Nothobranchius furzeri: one gene and its partner. The protein of the gene in region 2 binds, or shares a complex with, the protein of the main gene of each other region. Links are inferred from orthologs where the notes say so. Each region holds a gene or a part of one and is shown on either strand. Other genes may lie near its edges. The genes, in order: pelo and hbs1l.

What was found.
Region 1: hbs1l (region 2) and pelo share a complex: the UniProt entries of both Homo sapiens proteins name them as parts of the pelota-HBS1L complex. The link is inferred for Nothobranchius furzeri from reciprocal best matches to the Homo sapiens genes HBS1L and PELO.

The regions. Positions count from the first base shown.
Region 1 is NC_091756.1:34,852,688-34,859,583, reverse strand, and holds the start of pelo (protein pelota homolog), read right to left. Parts: upstream 4,584-6,896; 5' UTR 4,354-4,583; coding exon 4,313-4,353; intron 3,938-4,312; coding exon 3,845-3,937; intron 3,607-3,844; coding exon 3,456-3,606; intron 3,334-3,455; coding exon 3,243-3,333; intron 2,800-3,242; coding exon 2,636-2,799; intron 2,109-2,635; coding exon 2,048-2,108; intron 1,378-2,047; coding exon 1,216-1,377; intron 1,147-1,215; coding exon 1,100-1,146; intron 984-1,099; coding exon 910-983; intron 822-909; coding exon 750-821; intron 650-749; coding exon 575-649; intron 335-574; coding exon 303-334; intron 1-302. Other genes in the region: ppp1cab (protein phosphatase 1, catalytic subunit, alpha isozyme b), read left to right, coding at 5,318-5,372, 6,187-6,318. UniProt on the Homo sapiens protein: Component of the Pelota-HBS1L complex, a complex that recognizes stalled ribosomes and triggers the No-Go Decay (NGD) pathway.
Region 2 is NC_091742.1:471,328-478,190, reverse strand, and holds part of hbs1l (HBS1-like protein), read right to left. Parts: intron 1,991-6,863; coding exon 1,844-1,990; intron 1,554-1,843; coding exon 1,479-1,553; intron 1,375-1,478; coding exon 1,257-1,374; intron 1-1,256. UniProt on the Homo sapiens protein: GTPase component of the Pelota-HBS1L complex, a complex that recognizes stalled ribosomes and triggers the No-Go Decay (NGD) pathway.

The DNA of each region.
Region 1 (6,896 bases), on a different chromosome or scaffold from region 2:
ATCCAAAGCGACTTACAATTGATAACCTATAGGGCATGTTATGATCTGTGGAGGAAACCCACGCACGCATGGGGAGAACACGCAACTCCACGCAGAAAGGCTGCAGCCGAGTTTTGAACCTTCGGCCTTCGTGCTAACCACTGCGCCACCATGCAGCCCATGCATAAATCACTACTAGAGCTGGAATGAGCCTCACAGTTAGCTTAAAAACAGCGACTGTATCCACCAGCAGGGAAAGATGTGCTCTTAACCGTGTTAACCATGAGAAAGTTTCGTTTGTGTGAAATGAGTTTGTTGCTTACGTTCACCAGACACGTGAAGGCTTGAGAATATCCTGCATGAGAAAAATGAACGGCGTGTATAAATAACAGAACTATTAGAATAAAGCATTAAGAATGGTTGAAAAACCCTGAAAACAGAATTTTCACAATTTTACAGACCAGCAGGGTGTGTGTGTGTGTGTGTGTGTGTGTGTGTGTGTGTGTGTGTGTGTGTGTGTGTGTGTGTGTGTGTGTGTGTGTGTGTGTGTGTGTGTGTCAGTTGTAGGAAATAAAAACAGTATTTTTTAAGCTACCTGACAGTTCCTCCATTGTCTTTGACGCTGTCGACCAACCGAACATAACGACTCCTAGTGGGGACGTCCTGGTGTCTGAAAACACACACACACAAACACACACGTAAAACTTTAAAGAGCTTAAACTTAACATAAAAACAGCTGTAATGCTCTTGGGAGATCTCTCTGTGCGCACCTGAACAGCTTATCACTGATGAGCAGCGTGTCGATGGCGAGGGCATCAGCGGCTTTTTCTACATGAGCGATTCTGTGAGGAGGGAAAAGACACAAAGACCAGAGTGAATGAGAAGAACCCCTCTGGACACAGCTGGAAGTTCGGATCCATCACCTCTTACCCATAAAAGGCTCTGTCTGGTTCATGTTGAAGCATCTTGTAGAAGTCATCCAGAGCTTTCACCTCTCCAGCTGCCTGAGAGTTACACACAAATACCACATGTTTAGGTTCTGAGCCCAAACATGCACACGATGGCCTGCAGATAGTTTGGATGATTAATAAAACTGGACAACCAGAAGATGTATACTCACCTTAGTATCAGAAAGCCTACTTGTCACAGAGGGGTCACAAAGGATCTCTGCACAAAAAAAAGTGTTTTGTTTTATCTTCAGCTTGGCTGTTTTTCTCAGTGCGCAGCAGCTCCTACCTTTGAGTGAATACTTATGGCCTGATGATGAGTGGACCAGCATGAATTTGGGTCGATTTTCCAGGAGGATCTTGATGTCCTGTCGCACCGCCTCTTTAAAGAGGTAGGCAGAAAACTGGTCCTTCACAAAGCCTGGACTGGCCACGAGGATACACTTCACCACTGACAGAAGTCCAAAACAGAGATTAACACAGTTGCTTTGATTCAGTCTACAGACCAAGTTCACTCACTTTTTCAATACATTTGCTGTGGTCTCTGGTATGAATGAATGACTTGTGAGTCGGTCTCTGTGAGGAAGAAGCTCTGACATTCCTATTTCAGGAAGTAGAAGTGAGTCAGAGGAGAGAGGAGACGATCATGACAGGATTTGGAGTTTTATTTCCTGATATTCGGACATCTCACCTCTGATTGGCTAACAGCAAAACAACTCTACCTCTGACTGTTTACTTTGCAATGTTGACGTTTTATCTCCCCATATAATACAAGCCTGAAGTAGTTCTGCTGTGTGGTGGAGTTGCTCATGCTAACGGTTAGCTTCTACGAGGCAGATAAGTTCTCTGCCGTTTCCTGGCTGTTAAACCAGCAACAGCCTTCCTGATCGTGAGTCAAGATGGATGAGCCCATGAATGTTAAGTTCCAGTGTGACGTAGATCTGAATGACTTTTCTAATCTGAGCGTTTTTCCGTCTATTTCTATCAGCAGCTAAATCAGGTGATGGGGTAGAAGACCGTTTTTACATTCAGCCTGCGGGTGAAACTCAGAGTGGAACATGTGATGAAAACAGGAACATGCTGTGTTGTTACATGTGGAAGTGTAGGTCTGTTGGACCTACCATCAAAGTTAATGTGGCGAAGAATGGCCTGCATCACGGCCTCATAGAACCTCTCCAATGCCTGGTAAAAAAAACAAGCACAACACTTACCTTTTAAATGATTTATCTGAATGCACCCGTGAATAATCGTTACATGACCATCTGAAGGCAACCACTCTTAAAGAGCAAGTCACCCACGGCCAGATTCTTACTGAACTCCCACTTCCTGTTGCCTAGCAGACCGAGAGGGTGGAGCCGCTAACAAATACACACACTCACGACATTGTGACATCATAATGTACCATCTAACATCATTGTGTACCTCTTAGCCAATAGCGATGGCAGATTTCTATTCAAATGCAGTGCTGAGTTTTTGCCTGACGACAGTGCACCGCTGACAGTTTTAGGCAGAATAGTTAAAATTTAACTAAGATGCACTAAAATGCCAAATTATTGACTACATTTGTCTACAGCACAATAAGACACTCATTTATATAGTTTATCAGCAAAAAAAATGTTGATTTGGAGTGACTTGCTCTTCAAATAAATCAAGCAGGTTTATCCAGACATAAACAAAGCACACACCAGAACACATCCCAGACGACTGACCTTCTCGTGCTGACTGCAGCTGCCTTTTCTCTTCCGAGGAATCGTGACCTCCACTTTTGCCCGAAGCAGAGTCATGGCGGGGGTCACCAGAACCACGTTAGCCAGACCTTCCTGCATGACCACAGCTGCCACATCTGCTTTCTGAGCCGGATCACATGCTTGGTCTAAAGGGTAGAAAATAATAAAAATGGGTCAAACATCATTACAAATGTTTTACTGCAGGTCTATCACAACTCACTGCTGAAAGCCAAAAGGCGGGTACTTGTGTTTTTGTTTGCATTTGTCAGCAAGATATCTAATAAACCACTGGATGGATTTCAATAAGACTCTAAAAACGTATATTTTATAGCACATCTACAACCTGGTTTGTGCTTGGGGTCAACCTGATTCAGGATGGCTGCTACAGTTCACTGAAACTGGTAAACACATTGATTTTACAGCTTAAATTTTATGTGAACGACATTTAATCGTCCATAACATACAGGCTGAGCACTAAAATACTGTGCATGATTTTTAGGAACTAACCTAAACAGCTGTAATGGCATCCTTTCTCAACAGCAAATGATCTCATTTTAAAACTGTGGCATAAAAGCCAGCAGCCAATTACCAATTCTGTCCAGCACAATGCTGTCCCAGCATTTTTTAGCCAGAGTGAACTTCCTATTGAGCTCCAATTCAATAGTGTGGTAAGCCCCCATCTGAAAAACACAATATGACAAGTGTTTTCAAACCCAAACAAGCCCTAGTAACGGTGTCAAATACAGCAAAACAAAAACACACCGGAGTGTGACTACTATAGGGTTACGGTCCAATTTCCCACCTTGACATACTGGTTCTCCTCGATGTTGGTGCCTTTCACTCTCAGCTGGCATGCCTGGGAGTCAAAGTCAATGGTCTCCACACATAAAGTCAGAGTTGTCCGGACTCTGGAGCTGCCCACACTTCCTGTCGTGGATTCTGTCTGTACTTTTCTGTGGCAACAAGGGAAAATAGCTTTAGTTGTTAGTGTAATGTTCAATTTAACATGCATACAGACTGTGAAAGGGATCAAATCAAAATACAACCCTGACTGATTAGCAGGCAGAAAAGAGAAGAAACAAACTCATCTGAACTAAAACCAACTTCTAAGTGGTCTGTTTAATGGTCATGAGATAGTTTAATGTTCAGAGTTGCACATCTCATCTTTATGCGACACAGGTCAAAGGTTACCGGATGGTTGAGGCTCTCAAGCTGTCCCCCACTTGGAGCAGGTTGTAGGTGTGCCACATATCCTCTGCCTCCTCTGGCATCAGAGTTACCTGACTGAAGAAGTGTTAACACACATCAAACTAGCTTTCTGATTGGCTTTTATGTTTGATTACACAAGATCAAATGTTCTTTAGACATCGACTGATCCAAATGTTTGATAGAATGTTTATGCAGAATGTAAAAAAAAATTACAAAAACTGTTTGATTCTTATTGTTTACCCATTAGATGGGGACAGAACAGTCATCAAAGCTCTCTGGCTATATCAGGAAATACAGTATTATGTTAATAATGCTTCATTCTGTACATTGTCTAATAAAGCACTGATCGTAAATGTTCCTGTATCCATCACCACTACGATGACACATGTTTGGTCAGCTACAATAGCATGCTTTTTAGCTTGCTAATATTAGCTGAAACATTTCACTCACCCGGCATAATCTTTCTCAATGTCTTTGTGGAGCAACTTCATGGCTGGATTGTTTTAATGTAATAAACAAGATTGTCAACCTAAACTACAGTGGCAGGAGTTTAACCGAATTACGGACATATTTATTTCAATGAAAGCGCTAACTAAGCTAAGCCATCTCTCAACTTTGGAATGAATCACTCGGTTCGTGTTGCGAGGCGCTGAGACGTGGGTCCGTTCCTTAACGTTATGCCGGAGAACGATCCGCCTAAACATTGAGACCGTAGCGGACTGTAAGTTGCATCCGCCCATTCGATGCACCACTAAACTCGCCGGCGAATAAGCAGTAGAGGACCCATTGCGTCATGTTATCATACGTCAATTCTGTCTAGCTTGGCCTCTTTAATGGGTGTTGCTTCTGCGCAGTACATACAAAGCGACCGAAACTTAAATATTTCAGATTTTGTAGATGTATTTATTTATTTGGAAATGTTCAAGTAAACTGAAGTTTCTCAAAGAACAACGTTTGATCCATTTCCGTGAGCACTTGCTCTTTTATCGTTGTGGTTTTGAGATGACTAAATGCTGACGTACATTGAAAATAGCCAACCCGATAGCAGATTTTGTACCACAGATCCCGGCCACGGAGGTAAACGAACCAATTGCAGCTCAAATACAGTCGGACAACATCCGTTCAGCCACGCTCTTCTAACCTTTTTTGTCGATGGCATGGTTGTGCTAGCAGCCGCGGCGGATATTTCAAACACTTAAAAAGTGTTTTAGGATTCAAATTTGAAGTCGTTGATTAATTAAATTTCTGCAAGCACATGTCAGCCATCACATATTCAACAATTCAGTCTTCAGCCTCACACTTTGAGGTTGTTATTATCCCCCAAGGTTAGCTAGCGGCTAACGATAGCCGATTAACTACTTGAGCTAACGGTAAACTCGAGAGCTACTTTACAATCTTTTCGTATTGAAATTTCGAAGTAAATCAAAGAAAACCCGACCCGATTAGAAGAATAGTATGGCGGAAGCCGACAAGCTGAACATCGATTCAATTATACAGCGTCTCCTGGAAGGTAAGACTCGGTTTTTATTCACCGAGGTGCCATTTTAGCTAACAGGGAAGAAGCCGCCAATGAAAGACTTCCTAATTATCCATCTTTGGGGTTTTACAATTGAAATACAAAATTTGACTCGCATTGGACAGAAACCATCAGATTAATTATGTAGACCTGCATTAAGTGCTTCAACAAAAATTTTCACATGTAATCCCGTTAAAGGGCTCGTTTAACATTGATTTATTGAAACGATGCGCGTCTTTTCTCATATTTGCTGTTTGAAATGTATTTTCATCAAGCGATGAAGACGTGTGATTTTATTGTAGGGTTAGTTTGAAGTTTTTACTTTTTCCAATCATGAAAATAAATCATCGTAGGTGAAAATTGGTATTTAAAAAGCGTTCTGGTTATTTTAACGCATGATTTACAGAATACCCTTTACCAAAAATCCCCAAAATTGACCAGTTTGTCAGAAATCCATGAGATGTTTAGATTTTCTCAGTGTCAGAATAAACCTAAAATATTTGAATTTCCCTTTGCATCGTGTGCTTTTAGATGCTGCGATAAATGAGACAACAGGAAAAACTACTAAAATACATAATTTTTGACCCTTTCTCAGTGGTCTGCTTATAAAAATGTTTCACCAATAGAGTTGTGAAAATATGATATATATAGATAGATAGATAGACACACGTATGCTGGACATGAATTAAAATAGTTACACCTCAGTAGGATTGTTACAAAATGAGACTGAATTACCACTTCCCTGGTTAATGTTTGTTTTTTAACCCCATATTCAGTTTGATTTGTGTTATTTTTCTTTTCCCTAAAGTGAAAGGCTCCAGACCTGGTAAAAATGTTCAGCTGACAGAGAATGAAATCCGTGGACTCTGCCTCAAATCCCGGGAGATCTTCCTTAGTCAGCCGATCCTGCTCGAACTCGAGGCCCCCCTCAAGATTTGTGGTGAGTTTTATTGTTTGCTTTATAGCCGAGGGAATTTTCACAGCAGACTTAAGAAATAAAATGTTTGAGTTAACATTCTGTGGAGTTTCGTTTTCAGTAACTACATTTCTAACTTAACTTTCTAAGATAAAAAACGTAACAAATATTTGTGATATTGTTGCAAGGCACATGGTAGTGACCTTGGTCACAGTATCATGTTTTGGATTCGATGGGTTTTTTGTCGATTAAACTGTTTAGTGTCACTAAAGATTCACAAAAATTATCACTATTATCTTCTTACTGATGTAAACAAACATCTAAATGTTTGTCTCAGTTCACTTGAAATTGTTGTCATTTTTTAAACGAGTATTTTTTCAAGCCCTCTGACCACTTTGCTGCATCAGTTTTTAAGTTAAGTTAAATCTATGTTTAGGAGGCAGATCAACTCAGACCTGGTTCTTCTAAAAATAAAAGTAATCAGCATTAGTTTTATTGATCAGTGTTGGATCCAAACACAGAATCAGAGCTGCAGCCTCGAGCTTTAGTCTTGTTTTTGTCATCATAGTTTCAAGCATCAGCAGCACCTACCGGCAGGACCT
Region 2 (6,863 bases):
ATCTTTCGTGTCTTACTGAATCCATAAAAGGAACCCACAACTCGTCTCAATGGAGGAGCAGCAGCTCTACTCTGAATCTCTCCCGAACGTCCAAGCGCCTCACCCTATCCCTAAGACTGGACCCAGCTACCCCACGGAGAAAACTTATTTATACCCTCATGCAGCGGAGGGTATAAAACAAAACTCCATAAATTACATTTGCTGTCAACAGTTTTGGTAGTCAATGTAGTTGTGACTATCTTGGGAGCCCTGCTGCATTTAGCATCCAACTGCAGGATAAACAGACAATCTGCAGCTGATAAAATCACATAAATCTGATTTTAATGTTATACCTTGAGGTAGGGATGCGCAATAAACTGGCATCAATATCGGTATCGGCTGATGTTAATTATTTTTTAACATGTTGGTATCGGTCCGATAAATAATACTGGGCCAATATTAACAACCGATATTTTTTCCATCTTGTTTCCATTTGTTTATCTGTTTCAGAGGGTTGGGGGGCGGGGGTGATGTGTGTTAGTTTAGTCATGTGACAGTGATTGTAATCATCTCAGAAGCGTAAAGGTGTGTGTTGTGTGTACATAATAACGTAAGTCCAGCTTTAATCATTTTCATTCGATACAAAACCTGCTGATTTTAGAAGCATCAATGTCAGTATATTGGTATCGGCAAATATCGGTTATCGGCCATAATAGTAATATAATATCAGATATTGGTATCGGCCCAACTATTTCGTATCGGTGCATCACTACCTCGAGGTAAACTACTGTGCATTTTAATATACAACACAAGAAATGTTTAGCTACTCCCAAACTAAATGCCAACTGGTTTCCAAATTTGTACAAGATTGTAAAACAGTAAAATCAGATTTTTTATATTTGCTGCATAAAAGTGTAAATGTGATCTAGCGTTGTTTGTTTTTTCCTTTTTCATGCTTTTGTCATATTTTATTTGGGTGAAACACTTTCAGTTTTTAAATGTGCTAAAACAAACGCTGCTGCTTTACCGTAGACGAAAACAAACATATCTGTTATTAGCCGAGTCTAACATTGGAAACAACTGCAGAAATATCTCCAGCAGCATTTGCGTACTGTGAGTTGGTTTCAGTAAGACTCGTGGCTAAATAAAGAGCAACAGCTTTAAAGTTTTCAGAAGCTCTTTTTGCATTCCACATATTAATCACTGTTCTGTCAGAATGAGGAAAATTTAAACCAACGTTGGCTCAGTATGACACTCGCCGCGCAGTGACGGCTTACCGATCTGCTCCAGCAGGCTGGGTCCAGAGTACCAGGATGTGAGCTGTGACGCAGTACTCCTGGTGACGAGGTTCTCCCCTGACAAACCGCTGGTGGGGACGAAGAACACATCAGACTCCTAGAAAACAGAAACAAATGTCAGAATAAAGCAAAAAGCTGGACTTGGTGCCTTCATGCTGACGGAGAAGGATTCAGACTTCAGGTATTTTAGCTCCATCTCACCTTGAATCCTGCCTGCTTGAGGAAATGACCAAGTTTTGAGGTGATTTCTTGGAATCGCTCTTGTTGCCAGTTTACCTGATTTGTAAACACACAGAGGAAGTACACACAAGAAGAAAGTTTCCCCTTTAGTGTGGCTTCGATATGGAAATGTGTCAGCAATGTGCCGGTGATATATACACCACCCGTTCACCAAACTGGGATTGTTGGAATTTTTTTGACTGATTTGAAGAAGCGAATATCTGATCCAATTTAAAAACAAAGCCTGACAAACATATCAACAAAAAGAAAAACTAATGATTTTTGTACAGTTGCTAGCAGTCGGACTCCCCTGCTCGTGTTTTGGAGCACTGAGGATAACTTCTGACCTGGTCCATCTTGTTGACAGCCACAGCCAGCTGAGTGACACCCAGCGAGCGCACCAACAGAGCATGCTCTCTGGTCTGACCGCCCGCTTCAAAGCCGGCCTCAAACTCTCCTCTGCTGGCATCCACTACGAGCACGGCGACGTCAGCCTGGAGGGAGATCAAAATGAAACTCTAAATAATGTATGTTCACACCCAGAATCAAACCCAAGTCTTCAGCACGAGAGTCAGACAACTTACTAGGTGAGCTAAAGCACCAGTAACATTTGACGTATCTGTAACATTTATATCCTTGATGACAGCTGAAACAACGTCAAACCAAAGAACGGTTCGGAGTGAAAATGGCTATTTTGTTGCTAATTTGCAGGAAATATCTAGAAGAAAGTTCTACAGAAAGTAGCTAAGGGTCCTCAGAAATGTAGCTAGCGTTGTCACTAGGCGTTAGGAACAGCGACAAAGTGGCACTACCTCTCTCTCTGCTGCTAAAGCTACGGATAGCAAATGCTACGGGTGATGCCTGAGCGTGAACGCGCATGAAGCAGCCTGCTCGACCCGAGCAGCTCTCTTTCTGTGATTTTACAGAAAAACAGGCAATCACAGTAAAAATGCCAGGGCTCATTCTACAGGACCAGGGCATTGCAGGAGAATGTATGAAGAAGACATTTATTATTTCTATACATGTTTTGGCTGTCAAACTTTCATAATGCCCCTTTAACTCAGATTTTCTTTATTTTTTTGTTAAATGTACTTTTATTTGACTGAGTAATAAAGAAAAACTATAAAGCCTGGACCAAGCTGCAATCATGCAAAGAAACAATGATCCCAGTGATTGTGGACTAAAGTTTCAAGGACAAAGTCTCAACATCAGCTTGGTTTTGTTGCAGGACCAAGACAGCTCAGAACAAAAATGAAAAGTCATGCAAACCTGAATAAAATGGAGAAACACTGTAAATAATAATAATAATAAAAAAATAAGTGGGCTGAAATTCCCCCACAGCAATGTCAGACAATGATGAGGTCATACAGAAAACACATTCAAGCTACCATCACTAAAAGAGCTTATGGGCTTCAGATTATGGGATGGGAACTCTAATAAATAATCTGTTGAAGTTTATCTTAATTTTCACCTAATTTTAACCCCATATAAGGATGTTTAAGCCTTAGAAGTGAGAAAGACGTTACTTTCTTCACCTGATCTGCTATGTTAGATATTCTAATCCTTGGAATCCCAGTGAAAAGGAAAGTCAGCTTTTCATATCAGCGGCCATGTTTGAGTGTAATTTCTTAAGCATCCATGAACACAAGAGGCCGTAGCATCATCTGGAGCCTGCCAGACCACAACGCTTCCATGACAAAGGAGTTTAGCTCAAACACAAACCCCCTCACTCACTACACAAATGAGGTCACACGTCTTTACAGTCAAAAAGGATAAAGAAAAGTTAAAACGCAGACGAGAACACCCTTGCTTACAAAAAACACCTTGTGAGAACAACGCCCAAAACCACAAACAATCGCCCTGACGGGAGTGGCAAGATGTTGGAGCAAAGGGCGGGGCGGGGCGGGGCGGGGCATCATTTAATCGAGAGGTTTTAATGTCAGGAGAACGTTTAAGGATCAAACATTTTTGCTGCTAAAATAAACAGATCTCTTCTCATAAAATAATCAAGAGACAATTACGTGTGCCTAAATGGTGACATTAGCACATTAAAAACACATATTTGTAATAATAAACATGATATTTATAATGAATGTTGGTTTTTATAAACATTAGACCAGTTTTAATTCACATCTTTTAAAATAAGGTTCTGTGGAAGTCATGGAGAAGTAAAACAAGTAAAGCTGCAGATAACTGTTAGAGTGGCCTCAATTTGGAAATATAAAGATTAGTTCTGATCGATCAGAGGCCAGTTACAAAGCGTCTTCAAGTATGCAAATGCAGTTTTTAGCCTTTACAACATCATAAATGGAACAATTCTGAAGTTATTACTCGTGATGTAGTAGTGATAGTAGTAGTAGTAGTAGTAGTATGTTTATGTTTATGCGTTTAGCAGACGCTTTTGTCCAAAGCGACTTACAAGTGATAATCAGCATGTTGCCCTTGAGGTTAACAACAACAACAACAACAGCCAATTTCCAGTCAGTCGTAGGAGGCAGTGAGGCAGCATGATGAATCATGGAGAGGAGGGAACAAGGAGTGGACAGTAGAGAGGGGGGACGGATGCAGGGAGGGTGCTAGTTTAGAAGATGCTCTCTGAAGAGCAGGGTCTTCAGGAGTTTCTGGAAAATTGAAAAGGAAGCCGCTGTTCTGGTAGTGCTTGGAAGGTTATTCCACATTTGTGGAACGATGCATGAGAAGAGTCTGGATTGTCCTGAGCGTGGTGTAGGCACTGCTAGCCGACGATCCTGTGATGACCGGAGCGGCCGGGCCGAGACGTAAGCCTTTGCAAGAGGATTTAGGTTGTGCGGTCAAAGTCTTGATCATACAGCATTGTATTTAGATCGAAATAAAAAACTCAAATAGAAACATAAAAAAGTTGAAAAATAATTGAAAAAAAAGACACACTGGGTAGGTGGTTATGAAACAGCTGGAACTATTTAAGGTCAGTGTGCGTGTCGCTCCACGTCTCAGAACGTCATCGCGCATTACCTGAAATGTTTTATGTAGGACATGTCAGGAGAGAAAACTGGTTGTGAAAGTTCCTAGAGGAAGCACCAACGTGGTGATCCTCCGAAACGGTGCTAATGACATTCATCTGAAGACTGGAGAGGCAGCCGGTAAGATGCCGATTTGTAACGCGTGTGTGCATGCCGATCAGCTGATGGGTGATGGTTAAGCGCAGCTCGGAGCTGACACTGTGGACTCCGGTGCGCGTCATAAATGTTTGTGTTGGGTGTTTAGAAATCAGCTTGGTGTTTGATTGTTAATAAGCTACTTCAAATCTGCTAATTATTTAATGTTGTGATGTAAAATTGAAACATAAATAGCTGAAGTGATGAATTTAAGTGAGTTTGGGTCCGAATGAATTAATCATGTATTTTATAAATGTTAGCTCAAAAAATATATATATACATCATGTTGAAATCACGCATTTACCTATTTTATGAAAGGTAGTTTATATAGAGATAATAGAATTTTACACAATTACACTGTTTCTTAGCACACACTGTTTTTGTTTAAGGTTTTTCACCTGCTCGTAGGCTTTGCCTTGCTTCGTGCTTCATCATCTCCTATTTCCGTCTTGAATAATATGAAATGGAAATGAAATAAAGGAAAATGAAAAGTGAAGTCATGAAGTCCTGAGTGGAATCCTGCGTATATTTCTCCAGCAGATGATCCCAGTCAAGTGGGGATTTTACTCACCTAAAAGAGGAACTTGACACAGGTAGATGGGAGCCGTACCATCTCGGACTTTGTATGCTAGTGTTAGCAATTTGATTTTGATGCGTGCTGCTAGCGGTAGCCAGTGGAGCTCAATGAACAGAGGGGTGACGTGTGCTCTTTTTGGCTGATTGAAGACCAGACGCGCCGCTGCATTCTGGACCATTTGAAGAGGTCTCACAGTACAGCCTGGAAGACCAGTTAGAAGGACATTGCAGTAATCGAGGCGGGAGATGACAGTAGATTGCACCAGGAGCTGGGTGGCATGTTGTGTTAGGTATGGTCTGATCTTTCGTATGTTATACAGCACAAAGCGGCATGAACGAGCAACAGAGGCAACATGATCTTTAAAGGTCAGGTGTTCATCAATCACAACACCCAGATTTCGAACTGCCTTTGAAGGAGCCAGAGATGGGAAGTCATTTTGGATTGAGATATTGTGCTTTATGGATGGTTTTGCTGGGATGACAAGTAGTTCAGATTTAGAGAGGTTGAGTTGGAGATGGTGGGATTTCATCCATTTTGATATGTCAGAGAGACAGTTTGATATTCGAGCAGAGACAGTGTGGTCGTCCGGTGGAAATGACAGATAGAGCTGGGTGACGTCTGCATAGCAGTAGTAGGAGAAGCCATGTGATCGAATGATCTCACCCAGTGAGGTGGTGTATAGGGCAAAGAGAAGAGGTCCTAGTACAGAGCCCTGGGGGACTCCTGTGGCAAGATGGTGCACGGTAGAGGATTGTCCAAGCTGAGATACGCTGAATGATCATCCTGTGAGGTACGATTCAAACCAGGCGTGTGCTTTCTCTGTGATGCCCATGCTAGAGAGTGTGGACAAAAGGAAGCCATGGTTGGCAGTGTCAAATGTAGCCGATAAGTCGAGCAGGATAAGCACTGAGGATTTGGCAGTCGCCCTAGCTTCTAAAGCTTCTAGTAGTAGTAACTAGCTTCTCATCTAATTCCCACAGCAAATAAATGCCAAACTTACCGTAAGGGAACTGTACATTTGTGTGAGTGTCTATTAAGAATAGATTTAATTTCTTGGGGTCAGAAAGTTCCTACGAAAGCAGAAACTAGGGATGTTCAAAATTATCGATCTACCATTATTATCGGCTGATATCGGCATTAAAATTTAATATTTAAAAATTCTGTATTGGTTTTCCATCTTTTAATGACACAACTTTTACACACTGTGCATGTTTTATATTTCAAACTCTTGAGCTACTTCTCCTCTATCTAAAAATGTAAAAATATGTCAGATCTGAAGTAAATATTTTTGACATCTTCTAGTTTATTTTGCACCTGCGAAGTAGACATTTGCCTTGTGCAGTGAACGTACGCTGTCCTCAAGAGCACGTAGCTTTGTGTAGCTAGCCAGCTAGCAAACAACTAAAGCCAAAATGACAACCTTCCTCCAAGGCTTGCTTTTTGTATCTGAAGAAAAATATAGAGAAAATTCAGGTGCTGTTAGAGACTAAATAAATATGAAACTTAAGTTATATTTACTCACTTAAACTTTAGTTTAAGTAAATAAACTGGAAAATATTTAAATATTTAAAATTTAAGCATGCACATAGGAGATATGCAATGTTAGTAGCCTAAAATGTTTTAGTATTTCTTTTTTATGAGACGGGGACCCTCAAT